2 linked regions of the Pelodiscus sinensis genome follow. The protein of the gene in region 1 binds, or shares a complex with, the protein of each later gene. Links are inferred from orthologs where the notes say so. Each region holds a gene or a part of one and is shown on either strand. Other genes may lie near its edges. The genes, in order: PTAR1 and YKT6.

Region 1 (8,199 bases):
ATGGAGCAGATTGCTTCAGGAGCTTGTGGAAGCTTCTTCACTGGAGAATTTCAAAAGGAGGCTAGATTACCATCTGCCTTGGATGGTTTAGACCAGTGATCCCCAAACTTTTTATCTTGCACCCCTCTTATCCTGTGCATGCCCCCTTCCACCACAAAGCCAGGCTGCAGCTCCAGGAGGGAGGATGAAGACAGGGAGAAGGGAATTGAGGCTGGGAGCTGAGGCCAGCCGCAGCCGCAGCTGGCAGGACCCCAGATGCAAAGACATATCTGAGGCCCGAGCCAGGAGTGTGGCAACGCTCTTGGCCCACTCCCTATAGGGGCTGGTCTGGGTCTCAGCCTCACCTCCCCAAATGATACTCTTTGCTCCCCTATGGAGGCATATCCCACTGAGTGAAGACCTCTGATTAAAAAACACAATACATTCTGCATATTGGTAGGGGGTTAGACTAGCTGATCCTTGCAGTCCCTTCCAACCTTCAAATTTGAATTAAACTAGACAAGACAAGCAAAAAAACCCATTACTTTACCATTTAATCGGTGGGGAACTCAGACAAAGTAACTGAGTTAATGGAGGTCGCATAAGCAGTCTGTGGCAAAGCCACAGATTTCCTTTATCCCCATCCAGTGCATGACCACAAGCCAAATACTGCAAATGAATTTTGCCTAGAAAAAAGTGCTCAAGATTTGTTTAACATCATATTCACAAAACCAAAACAGGTAAGTAGAATTAGGACAAGGATAGTGCTCAACTCTCTGGCACAGAAAAGGTATTCCTCTTCACTCGACATCAGCAAGCTTGCTGAACTAGACAGGGTGTCTGTTTGTAACAGCTAAGGCCCCAGTCTTGCAAACACTTATGTGTTTGCATAATTTTGCTAATGCAACCCCATTAGGCTTGAGTCATATTATACACAAATTTAAGTGTTCATGTGTCTGGTGAGAAAAATATTTTGCAATAAATTTTACAAGTTTTATAGATATTCAAAAACAGGACACAGTATGCTGAGACAGCTTCATTTTCTTTACTGAAATGTGACTCAGCAGGACAAGTGAACATGAGTCTTAGGTTAGATTTTTATTTACAAAATAAATAAATGTTTTTCTAAAAAAATAAAATAAAATACTAATATCCCCTTTGAATTAATTTAAATGCAACATGAAAGACAACAACCCAGCCTAGACTTTTACTTGTTGTTGTATTTCTGTGAGCATAGTGCCCAATAACCTTACCTGAATTCTCTTAGGGGTGGGTGTTGGCCCACCCAGAACGAAGGGCCCATCCATGCAAATGTGTAAGGATCAAAAGTTCTAAACAAGGGACCAGATGGATATACTTTTGAAGGACAATGGTGGACAGTGCCCAAAGGAACTCTGAATGTGTGAAAAGGGCATGGAAAGAAAGAAAAAAACCCAGAGTCTCTGATCACCCTGTTTAGCATCAGCCATCCATTAATCGGGTCTTATCTTGGACAGTGCCAAGGCTAAAAGGGAGGTCTTATGACTTGGTGGGGTCATGGATGGAGTATACAAGGATGAAGAAAACTGCAGCCAGAATCTCAGAAGGAAATTCTGGAGGAGTCAGAAAAGGTGCTGCAACTTAGCAGATTGAAGGTAGGCATATGCCAGGGTCATCTCCTCACTGCAGAAGAGAAACACAGTGGGGAATCTGCAAAGCACATCAGCCATATGCCCATGTTCATCTTAAGGAGCACAGCTTGACAATCTTGGACATCATCATCTAATAAACCATCTTGTTAGTCTTTCAAGTGCTACATAGTCCTGTATTTTGTTTCAGCTACACCAGACTAACACGGATACATTTCTATCACTATTGGACACAGAAGTCTCTTGATTATCCACAGAACAGCTGTAACAGCAGCAGCAGCTTTCTTGCACTGCACTACCAATAGCTATCTAACTTGACCTGCAGGGCCTACACAAGCACACTATGGTAGGTCAGTCTCAAAAGCACACAGACTTTTACATCTAACCTATTTTTTCCATGAAGGAAGATGGCAACAGCCACACATTCTTAGTGAATAAGTGGTTGAGTCCGCTACCACTGAAATTAAAGGGAACTTTGACAGAACAGAATGTGAAAAGAAGCAGAAGTCTTTCTACAGGTCACACACAGACATTTACTGTTTACAGTGTATTATGCCTCGTAACCCTAAAGGGAAATTTTATGGCTAAATCTAATTTTAAAAAGGCTTCTTTCTGACTATATCCATATGTTGTAGTTTAAAGTTTGGCTACCTGCCAAACTGCTAGCCACATTTATGTAATCCTAAGGATTTCTGTCACATAGAAGAGAGGTATTGTAGCTGTGATAGTTCCCAGGAAATTGAAGAGACAAGGAGCGTGAGGTAGCATCATTTACTGAACCACTTTATGTTGGCAGAAGAGTCTAGCTTTTGAGCTACACAGAACTTTTCTGTCCCAATTCCTGTATTAACTAGGGATGTGAAAGGTTTAACAGGTGAGGCTTACAAGTTAAGGTTAACAGGTGAGGGATGGAGGGCGGTTCTGGCCCAGAACAGCTCCCTGCTCACACCCCATTTAATCAGTTAACTGCTTAAACATTGTTTAACGGGTTAACCAATTAAACAGGATTTTACATCCCTTCTATAAATGCTAGGGACAGACCTCTGAGCCATGTAGAGTCCACTGGGGCCTTAAGAAGGCACTGTTATTTCAAAATTTAGATTTCTTTAATATTGAAAGGAACGTTTCCATTCATTTACCAAAAATACACTTGAAGCCTGTTTTTTCCTTAGTACACAAATACACACACATTGCACTACAATATGCAGTACCCAGGTGACATAATCCACTAGATTTTGCCAAATCAAAGAGATTAAAAAACAACAATAGGAAGAGCTATGATTTTTGTATTGTGTTTAGCATCATGGGATGCAAGTGCCACAAAAATGTTTGCAGAGCAAGGGCTGCAGGCTGCGCCGCATCTCTCCATCGGAGGATACAGATTTGGTTTTTAATCATCATCTTCTGTCCTCCCCTCTTCAAGCGGCCACATGCTCTGCTGGGGGCTGGTGCCATGATTCTCTCCTATTCAAGGTGAGCAATCAGATAAACAAAAGCCAAAAAGCATAGAGGGGCAGAAATGAGATTCACAGTTATTCACAGTATTGAGAGTGGTTTTGAGTTTAGGAACGCCAACAGAATCAAAACTAGTGTCCCTCTTGCCCACCTCACTTCTGATACCTGCGAAAGAAGTTAACCCAATTCAGGCCCAGCGCCTAGGGGAGCTCACAGAGCCAGAGGCCAGCCACAGCTGACTTCCTGTGTGCGACCTTGGGCGAGACAGTCGAGAGAGGAGGGCTCCCGGAGCCCACTTCCCGCAGCTGCCATGCCTGGTCACCTCCCGGAGGCCGGGCGTTAGCAGGGGGGGGGGGGGGGGTGTCTGTGAAGCGCTCGCAGAGATGCTGGAGAAGGGAAAGTCTCGCGGGCTGGTTGCGCCGGAGGGTGCTTGTCCTACTCCCGGCCGCGGGGCTGGCGAGAGGGGCCAGTCGCCGTCCCCAGCCAGGGCAGCAGCGGCCCCAGTGATGAGGATGCTGCCTTGCCCCGGACGGGACGAGCGGAGACCAAGTCGGCGCCGGGGTCTCCGCCTGGCCCCGCCGGAGCTGGGCCGCGTCAGCCGCCGCCCGGCCAACCCGCCCGCCCGCCGCACTCACATGTGGGGGTTCCGCTTGAAGGCGTTGTGCAGGTCCTTCACCACCCGCTGCACCAGCACCGCCACCTCCTCCGGGGACTCGGCCATCTTCGGCCGCCGCGCCGCTGAGCCAGGCTGGGCTAAAGCGCTTCCGGGTCGGCGGAGGGACGAGCCGCTCCCTGGCAACGGCGGCTCACCCCGGCCCGCCCACCCACAGCGGGGCAAGCGGCGGCGGAACCCGGGCGGCAGCGGGACAGGCGGACGCGCCGCACTCAGCCAGGTAACCGGGCGCGGTGCCCCAGCTCCGCCCTTCTGCCCTGCGCGCGCCAACGGCCGCACTCGGAGCAACTGGGCTGGGTTCTTCCGCCAACCGCCCTGTGCCTGGGCCCCTGGGGCCTCCCCCCACCCCGGGCTGTGGCTGGCGTGGAGCTCGCCCTTGCACCAGCCCTAGGCAGAGCATGTGGCGGCTCGGCGCGGGCAGGGCCGGGAATGACAATTAAAACCCAAGTCCCCTGTGTCTCCCCGATGGAGGGAGGCGGCGCAGCCTGCGGCCCCTGCTCTGCAAACTCTCACGGGGTTATTGCTGCAAACATGAGTAGTCCCATTTAAGCCACTGGGATAACTCTGGTGGGTGAAGTGATGTGGACGACCCCGGCTACTCCTCTGAGTCTTGTGGGTGACGTTAAGGAGCACAGGCATAAGCGTTTGCAGAGCTTCTGCTTCTTGTAATAATACATGCTTGCTTGCTTAATTAATTGACACACAGGCTTGTGATTTGGGGTCTTCTTTCCCATGCTGCTTAAAGGAGATTTAAGGGGAATCTTATACCATCAGATATCAGAGGGGTAGCCGTGTTAGTCTGAATCTGCAAAAGCGACGAAGAGTCCTGTGGCACCTTATAGACTAACTGAAGTGTAGGAGCATAAGCTTTCGTGGGCAAAGACCCACTTCATCAGATGCATGGCATCAGAGAATATCCTCTGAGTATACCATCAGAGAATATCCTCCTCCCTAAAGAGAGATGAGACCCCCCCCCCCTTTAAAAAAGTCCTTACAATTGGTTCAAAATATAACTTGGCTGGTCTGTCAACTTTGTTGACTTCAAATGTTGTCCCTGATTATGGTTATATTTGAGAAGTCTTTTAAATAAACAGCTGGTCTCAAACTGTGGGCTGGACTTCAAAGTGGATTGCCACCCTGTTTTAAATGGGTCACTGGGGCTGGCCTGAGACTTGCTGGGACCAAAGCCTACTCCCACTGCCCAAGACTGAAAGTTCTTTAGCCCCAAGGGAGGTGGCAGTGCTGGTGTAGCAGATGACGAAGGACCTGCACAATGTCTTCAAGAATTAGGGGTTACCAAATGAAATTAATAGGGTTAAAACAAGCAAAAGGAAGTATTTCTGCACATCTCACAGTCAACCCATGGAACTGCTTGCTAGAAGATGTTGTGAAGACCAGAACTTTAACAGGGTTCAAAAAAGAGCTAGATAATTTCATGGAGGTTAGGTCCAGCAATACTGATCAGCCACGATGGGTAGGAATGGTGACCCTAATCCAGGGCCAGCCCACAACATTTTGGCACCTGAGGCAGGGAGCTCAAATGATGCCCCATGCCACTTTTTCTCCTGCCTGTCTGTTATGTCTCTTGTGCCCTCCTTCCTCCATCGCAGCACTCCACCATCTCTGTGCATCTAGAGCAGAGAGAATACATATGCACCAGCAGCAGATACAATTTTCTACACTCTGGGTCTTAGTGGCGCCCTTCCCCCCCTCCTCCTGCAAAGTCTGGCACCTGAGGTGGCCTCCTCAGTTCGCCTCATGGTAAGGCCAGCCCTGCCCTAATCTCTGTTTTTCAGAGGCTGGAAATGGATGACAGGAAAAGGATTACTTGATAATTCCCTGTTTTATTCTATGTGGGCCTTTGGTTTGACCCAGTATGGCCATTCTTATGTTCCCTCTGCCCAGGGCAGTGGGATCAGGCTTGGCTTTGGCTGGGCAATGGGGTGCAGTCAGGATCAGGTTTTGGTTGCCTCTTCTGGGGTCATGTAGTAATTTTTGTTGTCAAAAGGGTGTTGCAGTGCACCCAATTTGAGAACCACTGAGCTTGATAAATCGGTCACTTAAAAATCTTACTTTGGATACCAAATAGATATCAAATTCTTTTTGTAAGCTTTCTGTTTGTTTTCTAATGTTTGACAGTAAAGTTCATATTCCTATTTTTTTCGTAACTTGGAAAATATGAAACATTTTATTGAGATGTAATACAAACAAATGAGTGCCTTTTATTTATGCCTCAGCGGTCTTTAGTGATAGAAACTAGTGGACTACATATTATGTGATTTTGTGTCAACAGCTTATATTGGCATTACATAAAAAACAACAAATAGACTAGTAGCACCTTAAAGACTAACAAAACATGTAGTCATGAGCTTTCGTGGGCACAACCCACTTCTTCAGGTGACTGGAGTATTAGAAGTCCAGATCCAAGAATAAATAAGGAAAGGGGCGGGGAGAGAAAAAAGGAGGGGAAAGGAGAAAAAAATAAAAGGAGAGAGACAGAGAGTAGATGGTTCAAATAGTTACAACAGGCTGATAAGAACAATTAGAACTTCCGTTGGTTGGTAGGTTAAGTCATACGATGTGGAAGGTAGTGTGCAAGCCAGCCGATATCCTTGTTCATACCATTTGCATAAGAATTAAACTTGTAAATGAAGTTAAGTTCCAATCTTTCTCTGTGTATTTGGCTTGTGGAATTGGCCTGAAACAACATGGTGACTTGGAGATCCATTAATGAGTGTTCAGGTAGATTAAAGTGTTCTCCAACAGGTTTTTTGTGTATTGCCTTTTGGGATATCTGATTTGTGTCCAATAATTCTTTCTCATAGAGAAAGAATTTGAATGTAAATTCCACAAGCCAGATGTTTAAAATTAAATGTTATGAATAAATTAAACATTTAGTCTTCTTTCTTAGTTAAAAGCTTGAAATGTCGTCTTCGTCCTCTTCATCCTCACCATCACCACCTCCAAGACGACCTGGTAGACCCACCATATATTCCCCATCAGAAAAAAAGAGGAGGAGAAAGAGTCTTGAGAGAAAAAGGGCTCAATCAAGGATATGTATAAGAGAACAAATAGGAAGATGGATGTCACTTAGGGAAACGCTTAATGTCTTCTCACATGCTGAAGTTGCCAAGTTTTTACTGGATTTGTAAGTAATATATCTAATATATATCAAATATGTTTATCTAAAGAGAAATGTGAATTTTATTCTGATTGGTTTCTTTCATCTTACTTTTTAATATAGATATGACAGTTATGAAAATCAAGATGTTGTGTGCAAGGAATCAGAAGGAAAAATACAGGAAGTAGATGGAAACACAACATTAAACATAGAAGAGGATGTGCCAGAGACCTCTTTAACAGCAAGTACTGAAAGGTAACTTGAAATCTTTTAAATTTTTTTTTCTCTCAGCTTTTTCCATGAAATTGTGTAAAAATTAGGAATGTGCAAGGTTAACCAGTAAGCATCAGCCTAAATGGGTGATGCTTACTGATTCCGTTTAACTGGTAATCGGTGGGGGATGGAGCTCCTCCCTGCTTGCTGCAAGCAGGGGACTCCTCCAGCCCTGTAGGAAGCCTGCTGTGAACAGGGGCTCCTCTCATCCGAAGCAGCCTCTGTCTCCAGGGAGCCTGCTCTGCCGTGGATAGGGTCTGCTCTTGTGAGTGCTGAGATCTGGTAGCCAGCCCCCAGCGTAGTGATGGGGACAGGAGCCCTGTGGACTGGGGGCTGCTCCAGCAGAGCTGTAGTGGTCCACAACCAGGATCTCACGTTAGTCGGTTAAGCAGTTAAATGTTAGGTTAATCTAACATTTAACTTGCTAACTGATTAACCGGGATTTTACATCCCTAGTAAAAATTTAAAAAAAAAAAATCAATGAAATGACTCTGTCATGTGATCATTCCTCTGCACCAAAGGTGGGCAAAGACCTGCCTGGGTGCTGGATCCGGTATGTCAGGATTAGCCCTGGTGTGTATTTACCTGTGCCTCCACAGGCACGGCAACTGCAGTTCCTATTCGCCATTTCCAGCTAATGGGAGCTGAGGGAAGCAGTATCCTGGTCCATGCTTCTTCCCACAGTTCTGATTGACTGGAAATGGCAATCTGCAACCAACAGGAGCTGCAATTGCTAGTACCTACTGGGGTGCAGGTAAATATTGTAGAAGCTATTTTATGTTTAGCTAGAAGCCATCTTGTATAACAGAAACCATTTCAGCTTTTTGTCTTTGCACGTAGGCCAGAGTGAACTTTCTATCACCCCATGCGCCAGGCGAAGACAGATGTGCTATTGGAATGTGTTAATTAGGCTGATTCAGAGAGGAGAGGTACTCCCTCGTACCTGTCCGCCATCTTGTTGATAAGGCTTTGTTTTTTCCTAGTTTAATTGATTATTTCTGTAATTGGATGCCCTGACGTCAGACTGTTTGGTTAAGGGTATAAAGATACTAGGATTGATTGTATTAAGC
Region 2 (7,931 bases), on another chromosome or scaffold:
CTGCCCTCTCCATTTTTAATTATGACATTTCAAGCTCATGAAAGACAATCGGACAAGATTGCCAGGAATTTTAAAAAACAACACACACACACATTTAAACATCCACTTTAAAATCCCAGTACCTTTCCAGAATTCAGAGTCACTAAAAACTTAAGACAAAATGTAAATTTTAGGCCAGATTTGTTATCCTTAATAATGCTTGCCAGCATTTATGCACTAATTCAAAGGGTCTACTTGTCCACATAAAATTAAACGTGTCAATTTGTGGGACGGGGGACCAACTAGGAAAAATAAATAGAAGATTATACATATACAACGCAGTCAAGTTAATGATGGTAGGGAAATCATTCTCCCCCACTGAGGTTTTATTAAATGAGTAAGAGAAAACTGCCTGTAGTTTGAGCCACCTCTTTACCTGAATAGGTCAGAACTAGGGGAGATAAAAGCATGACTTCCTGCCGGGGATTCTACTAGTGTTGATCAATTTATACTGAGGCGACTGTATTTTTTGAAAATAAGAAGAAACTAATTTTCTTTAAATTCTGATAAGCAGCCTGATGTAGAATGCAGTAATAATTACGGACCAATTGTATGATCTGTGACATTTTCCTGCACCTGTGATTTTCTTTCATTTCTGATGTTAAAGTCTTTTTGTAAAATTGCTTTAACAACTTTATTTCAGTTAGCTAACTGTAGTTTCCCCTTGTGCAGACTGGCCCAGCATCAGCTCTCATACATGCAGGCCTTCTGCTCATACAAAACAGGGAAATGGGCATAGGTAAAAAATATAGCAGGTGCACAGAAGTATGTTTGTTTCATGCTTATCTTTTAAAAAAGTCCCCTAGGACAATCAACCATCAAGTGAAAGCCCCAGCAGTGTAAGTGGCAAGCAATAGCTAAGCTTCAAAACTCACCTATTTTTGCTGTAACCTTGGCAAAGGAAGTAAAAATCTCTAATTGTGGTATTTCCCTGACCCCGACCCCTCCCTCATACACACATCAGAATGACAGAGAAGAACATTTACTAATGCTTTAAAAGTCACTGTTGGACGCACAGCAAGCATGGAACATTTCAGTGCAGAAGGCAAATATTTCTTAAAATCATGAGCCTTTGAAACCAGGAGGGTAGAAGGGAAGTTGTATTGCAGTTAGGCACTTGCTAATACAACTACTTCTTTCTAAAAGCTTTATGGGTATTACCCCATCTTAATGGTTAGGGGGCTGTGCTCGTAGTGCGGCAAGGCTAACTGATGTAAGGACTATGTGGGCAACTCTTCTGCAAGCACAGATCACACCTTAGCACTGAGAGAGCTGTGACTCACCAGGATGACAAGAAGCTGAGATTAGCATTTAGCTTTGTACACTCTGGCCTGACCTGTCAGCAGCATTCTCTGCACAACCACTCACCCTAAGCAAAGGGGACATACCAGGCATAGTATGTTATCACAAGTGGGAAGATACTATTGCTAAATACAAATACATGGATCACTACAGCTGTCACAGAAACCTAGCTGGATTGGTAAAGCAAAACCCACAAGTCATCTCCTATTTGTTTTTCAGGTCTCTGCATGAGCTGAGATGCTTGCATGCCTAACAGATCTTTTCACATCATCTACTGTATGGATTTCAGTACACATAAATACACAATCTCTTGTTTTGTATAACTCACTACACCAGCCTTACAAAAGTTCCAGCTCAGGCACGGATCTATTCCCAGATCTTTTGCTGTGATAATATTTATCTTATTTATTTAAGTTAAAAGGTCACTCGGATGCTGGAAAGCTGTATTACAGGACTGAAAATTCAATGAGGCTTTATTCTACCCATCTTAGGTACTTCTATGGGCCCCATTACTGTAGTATTTGTACACCAGAATACCTTATAAATACTTAATTAGCCATTGGGTGAGAAAAAGAGACTCTTCGCATCTCAATGCTTAGAACAACCACTGGGGAGGCAAGAAATCTGGGATGCAGATCCCCTGCTCCAATCGCTCTTTCACTATTTAGCCACAGAAAAACAGCTGTCTCAACCAGAAGGCCTGAGGGAGCTCCACAGCAGCCCAGCTCAGCGATTATAGCACCCTCCTAAGAAGAGGGAAGCCTCTGTTCAAATCCCTTTTCTTCATCTGACAGAGGGGACTGAAATCAGGACTCCCAAACCTCGAGTGCTCTGACCACTGGGCCAATTGTATAAGGTGGGTGATATGAAGATCACCTCCTCCTCTTTTCAGGTGGGTGGGATTTTGAATGGGATCTAATATAATAGGCAGACTCTGAGTATGCTTACTAGATTGGTTCCTGTACTCAAGATAGATGTTCATTTGCTTGTTTGTCCCCAGTCAGTGAAACCAAAACTGAGATTTAGGCAACCAAGACCTTTGTGAATCCACCTAAGGGACTTGCCTGGGGTCAATCTGTGGCAGAGCAGGGAGTTGAATCCTTGTCTCCCAAACCAGCCCACCAAGCCCAGGCCGCCCTTATTGTGCTGTTTGTCCCAGGCAGGGGATGGAATCCCCCAGGCCGGTGCCAACACCCCAGGGACCCACCTGGTTTTCTGGAAGAAGCTGAATGAGGACAGGTCGTAGGCGGCTTTCAGCAAGTGCACTTTGGGGTCGCCTTTGTAAAGGACACTTAGGCTGTAAAGCTTCATCCTGGCGCCTCCCAGCCGCCGCCTGAGCGAGAGGGGCAGGAAGGAGTCAGGGCTGGGACAAGAGACAAGATCCGACCCCTCCTTCCACCTCCCCAGCCCCTGCCCGAACCCCCCCCCAGCCCCATCGCTCCCTCTGCCCACAAGAGAACAGGGCTGGGCTGCAGCCCCTCCCCCCGCACAGCCTCCCCCCCCCCCCGCATTCCCTTCCCCCTGCAGAGCCACCCCCCCACACAACTCCCTCGTTCCCACCCCTCCCCCAGACAGCTCCCAACCGCCCCCCCCGCGCAACTCCCTCGTTCCCAACCCTCCCCCAGACAGCTCCCAACCGCCCCCCCCGCGCAACTCCCTCGTTCCCACCCCTCCCCCAGACAGCTCCCAACCGCCCCCCCCCGCGCAACTCCCTCGTTCCCACCCCTCCCCCAGACAGCTCCCAACCGCCCCCCCGCGCAACTCCCTCGTTCCCACCCCTCCCCCAGACAGCTCCCAACCGCCCTCCCCGCGCAACTCCCTCGTTCCCACCCCTCCCCCCAGACAGCTCCCAACCGCCGCCCCCCCGCAACTCCCTCGTTCCCACCCCTCCCCAGATAGCTCCCAACCGCCCCCCCCGCACAACTCCCTCGTTCCCACCCCTCCCCCAGACAGCTCCCAACCGCCCCCCCCGCGCAACTCCCTCGTTCCCACCCCTCCCTCCAGACAGCTCCCCAACCGCCCCCCCGGCACAACTCCCTCGTTCCCACCCCTCCCCCCAGACAGCTCCCCAACCGCCCCCCCCCGCGGCCGCCTCAGCGCTCGTTCGCGCGAACGGGGGGAGGGGGGAGGCCGGTTACCGAGCGGGTCCCGCCTCCCTCCTGCGGCTGCGGCGGTTGCGAAGACTGACGGGGCGGGCGGCGCCGGTTGGAAGGAGCCGCCGACCCGGAAACAAAACGCAGCGGCCGGAAGTCCCCGCTGCGGATCGGTGCCACGGGGCGCTGTGGCACTGCGCATGCGCTCGCCTGCTCCGGGACCCAGCCACTGAGCGTCCGCCTGACAGGGCCGTTTCGCACCGCCCCCACGGGCCGGACAGCCAATCAGCATCGCCCTGACAGGGGCCTCTCCTCCACCCCACCTCCCCGGGCCGGGTCGGGGGGGGCCATTCCCCAGGGGGCGGGGCAGCTTCTGGGGGGGGCCGTTCCCCAGGGGGCGGGGCAGGTTCGGGAGGCCGTTCCCCAGGGGGCGGGGCAGCTTCTGGGGGGCCGTTCCCCAGGGGGCGGGGCAGCTTCTGGGGGGGGCCGTTCCCCAGGGGGCGGGGCAGGTTCGGGAGGACGTTCCCCAGGGGGCGGGGCAGGTTCAGGGGGCGGGGCAGCTTCTGGGGGGCCGTTCCCCAGGGGGCGGGGCAGGTTTGGGGGGGGCCGTTCCCCAGGGGGCGGGGCAGGTTCAGGGGGCGGGGCAGTTCCCCAGGGGCGGGGCAGCTTCTGGGGGGCCGTTCCCCAGGGGGCGGGGCAGGTTTGGGGGGGCCGTTCCCCAGGGGGCGGGGCAGGTTGGGGGGGCCGTTCCCCGGGGGGGGCAGTCTCCCAGGGGGTGGGGCAGGTTCAGGGGGCGGGGCAGTTCCCCAGGGGGCGGGGCAGGTTGGGGAGGCAGTTCCGGGGGGGGGGGCAGTTCTCCAGGGGGCGGGGCAGGTTGGGGAGGCAGTTCCGGGGGGGGGGGGCAGTCCCCCAGGGGGTGGGGCAGTTCCCCAGGGAATGAGGCAGATTCTGGGGAGCTGACCCAGCGTGCGCACACATACACGTACATTCTCTTTCTTTGCAGCCAGAGGCCTGGCTCGCTCCCAGATTTTGTACACATGCGGTGCCCCCCCGGGGTAGGTGATCAGGTGTGCAGGCGCCCGAGCCTGTGTGGTAGAGTTAAGGTATGCCCCCTATGGGGTGAGCACCACTAACCTGGAGTCCGCCCTGCCTTACCAGGGTGAGCATTAGGGATGGAAAATCCTGTTTAAAATGTTAACTGGTTAAATGTATAATATTTAATTGGTTAAATTGCCCGTGGTTTGCTGCGGGAGGAAGCTGTTCCAGCCAGGCCGGGTGCCAGTTAATCCATTACCCTGGTAAGCACACGGGGAAGGCAATGCTTACCCGGTAATCAATTACCCCTTTACATCCCTAGTGAGCATCAGCATGCCAGGGTTGGCCCTGCTACATGGGAATCGGCCCTACTAGCAAGCACCAATGCATCAGCATGGGCCCTGCTTTATGGGGTCAGCACCTATAGTTCAGGATCCCACGGGAAGGCAATCTAAGGGGAAAAGCTGTTCAGGAGAGTTGACAGTTTTTCAGAGATGTTATTAAGGGCATGGGAGCAAACTGTGTAGGACTGATAAGTGCAGTGTGGCAAGAGGCCACCCTGGCTTAACCAGGAGATCTTCAATGATCTGAAACTCAGAAAAGAGTCATACAAAAGTAGAAACCAGGTCACATGAAAAAGGATGAATATAAGCAAATAACACATATATATAAGGGTGAAAGGCCAAGGCACTAAGCAAGATTAAACTAGTCAGAAATGTAAAGAGACCAGTCTACAAATACATTAGAAGTAAGAGGGAGGCCAAGGACAGATTATGTCCCTTACTCAATGGGGTAGGAAGAACAAAATGTTTAGTAGCAATTGAACATCTATCTTAATGTCAATGAAAATTAAGTAGGATCAGGGCTAAAATAGGGAGAAAATGTTAGATATTGCATAGATAAGTTAGACGATTTCAAGTCACCAGGGCCTGATGAAATACATCAGGAGATATCTGAGCCATTAGCAGTTATCTTCAAAAGCTCATGAAAGACAGGTGAAATTCCAGGACTGAAAACGACAAAAATAGCACCCCTCTGTAAAAAAGGGAAGACGGCCAACACAGGGAATTCCAGATCGCTACTGAGTAAACAATAAAGCCCTCAAGTTGCAGACATCTGAAAGATAATAAGGTGATAAGTAACCGCATGGATTTATAATGAACAAACCATGTCAAACCAACGTAGTAGCTTGCTTTGACAGAGTAACCAGCCTTGTGATGGGGGAATGATAGCTGTGGCACATCTTGACTTAAGTAAAGCTTTTGATAATCTTTCACACGGCCTCATAAGCAAACTAGGGAAATCCAATCTTGCCTTAGCTACTATAAGGTGAGTGCAGAACTAGCTGGAAAACTATTTCCCGAAAAAACTTAAAAAACAACAAAGAGTCTAGTAGCACCTTAAAGTCTAACAAAACGTGTTGATGGTATCATGAGCTTTCATGGGCAAAACCTATTTCTTCAGTTGACTGGAGTATAGTAAGTCCAGATCCAAGAATAAATAAGGAAAGGAGGGAGGGAGTGGGAAGAAGGAAAAAGGGGAGGAGAGGAAGAAGAAAAGAGACAATGAGTAGATAGTTCAGATAGTTACAAGAAGCTGTTAAGACCCAACCAGGAGGGGAGTTACAGCAAGGGAGGTTAACAGCCAAGGTGGAAAGGCTGGTCCCACAATGATCAGTGCTGGGTCCAGTTCTGTGCAGCGCCTTCATCAATGATTAGAGCAGGGGTGGCCGACCTAAATCTGAGAAGGAGCCAGAATTGGCCAATGCACCTTGCCAAAGAGCAACAGCAGCATGTCACCAGCCCTGCTCATCTCCCCACCACCACCCGCAGCACATCCAGCCCACCAGCAGCCCCACGGGTCAGTGCTGCCTCCTCCTTTTCCTCCCGCCCACTGGGATCAGCTCTGTCTCGGTGGGAGACACTGGAGGGGGAAGCAGGCTCGGTGGGTGTGACAGGCTCGGTGGAGAGGGTGGGAAGTGGCAGGATCCTAAGGGAAGGGCCTTGGGCAGAGCTGGGGGTTGGGCAGTGAGGACCCTCCTGGCCCAGTGGAAAGTTGGCACCTGTAGCTCCAGCCCTGGATTTGGTACCTATGCAAGGAGCCGCATATTAACTTCTGAAGAGCCACCCCTGATTCAGAGAATGGCAAAGAGACTGCACTTAACCCAGTTTGTGGACGATACCAAGCTGGGAGGGGTTGCAGGTGCTTTGGCGGACAGGGTTAAAATTCAAAACGATTTGGACAAATTGGAGACGTGAGCTGAAGTCAATTGGAGGACATTCAATAAGGACAAATGCAAAGCACGCCACTTAGGAAGGAGCCGCGATCTGCACACACGCAGAATGGGAAGTGGCTGCCCAGGAAGGAGCACGGGGAAGAGATAACAAGCTAGATGTCAGCAGTGTAACACTGCTGCCACACAATCATTCTGGGATGTATTAGCAGGAGTGTTGTAAACAAGGCGCAAGAGGTAATTGTTCCGCTCCATTATGTGCTAAGTAGGCGTTAACTGGCGCATCCTGTCCCATTCTGGATGCCACATTTCAGACAAGTTGTGATCAAATTGGGGAATGTCCAGAAAAGAGCAACAAAAATTAGTAATGCTGCATTGGCAAAGTGGGCCCCAGCCCAGAAAAAGCTTTTGCCCAAATGAAACTGAGTCTCTAAGGTGTCACTCATTGTTTTTGCTGAAACAGACTAACATGGCTACCCCACTGAAAATGATTAATGGTCTCGAACAGGGGTTCCCAAACTTTTTGACATGGGGACCAGTAAATCCATTCACAAGCTTTTGGAGGACCGATAACATTCATTTGCATACTTGCATATTCATTAAGTAATGGTGAATATTCAAATAAGTGGTTTCTGGTCCTCCCAAAGCCCCCAGTGCCAGCTTTAGCAAAGCTTTTGATACAGTCACCCACAATATTCTTGCCAGCAAGTTAAGGGAATATGGATTGGATAAATGGACTGTGAGATGGATAGAAAGCTGGCTAGACCAGAGTTTCCCAAACTTTTTACTTTAGTTGGAACCCATTGTTTTTCAGTACTGTTTTTTGCAGCCCAATAATATAAACGCATATAAAAAGAATGAAAAATGAATACATTTTCAGTGTTTCACCCAGCTGCATCCTCCGCCCAGCCTGGGCCAGGGCCTGGGGGACCTGGTGCCACATGGGCACTCCAGGAGGCGGGGGCAGGAGCAGATTGGGGGTAGGGTATCTGGCTAGGAGGGAGGGTGCAAGGAGGGGTAGGGTTGCCAAGTGTCCAGTTTTGTACCAGACAATCCGGTATTTGAGGCTTCTGTCTGGGAAACAAATTGAGAAAATACCAGACATATAAAATGTCCTGTATTTTCTAATTAGGTAAGTTTTATTATTATTAGGTGTATCAGTCCGTAGCTGCGAATTGCCTGGCTGGTAGATGTGCTCATGCTGCGAGTGTGTCTGCCAGCCAGGCAGT

The links.
Region 2: the proteins of PTAR1 (region 1) and YKT6 are in contact, whole or in part, in a crystal structure (PDB 6J7F), measured with the Homo sapiens proteins. The link is inferred for Pelodiscus sinensis from reciprocal best matches to the Homo sapiens genes PTAR1 and YKT6. Residues at the interface, in NP_001093136.1 of Homo sapiens: Glu31, Gly33, Leu34, Ile35, Pro36, Val48, Val50, Glu51, Lys53, Leu54, Gly55, Ser58, Lys135, Tyr191, His225, Ser228, Met229, His230, Val231, Ser232, Asp233, Phe298, Asp301, Leu302, Ser305, Tyr306, His309; in NP_006546.1 of Homo sapiens: Met1, Ser29, Phe30, Phe31, Asn83, Glu84, Pro86, Gln131, Asn132, Pro133, Arg134, Gln180, Phe184, Arg189, Ser193.

The regions. Positions count from the first base shown.
Region 1 is NC_134716.1:32,582,401-32,590,599, forward strand, and holds the start of PTAR1 (protein prenyltransferase alpha subunit repeat-containing protein 1), read right to left. Parts: upstream 3,831-8,199; 5' UTR 3,784-3,830; coding exon 3,698-3,783; intron 1-3,697. Other genes in the region: uncharacterized protein LOC102457766, read left to right, coding at 6,660-6,883, 6,980-7,111.
Region 2 is NC_134738.1:4,525,737-4,533,667, reverse strand, and holds the start of YKT6 (synaptobrevin homolog YKT6), read right to left. Parts: upstream 3,639-7,931; 5' UTR 3,480-3,638; intron 2,675-3,479; 5' UTR 2,653-2,674; coding exon 2,549-2,652; intron 1-2,548. UniProt on the Homo sapiens protein: Vesicular soluble NSF attachment protein receptor (v-SNARE) mediating vesicle docking and fusion to a specific acceptor cellular compartment. Functions in endoplasmic reticulum to Golgi transport; as part of a SNARE complex composed of GOSR1, GOSR2 and STX5.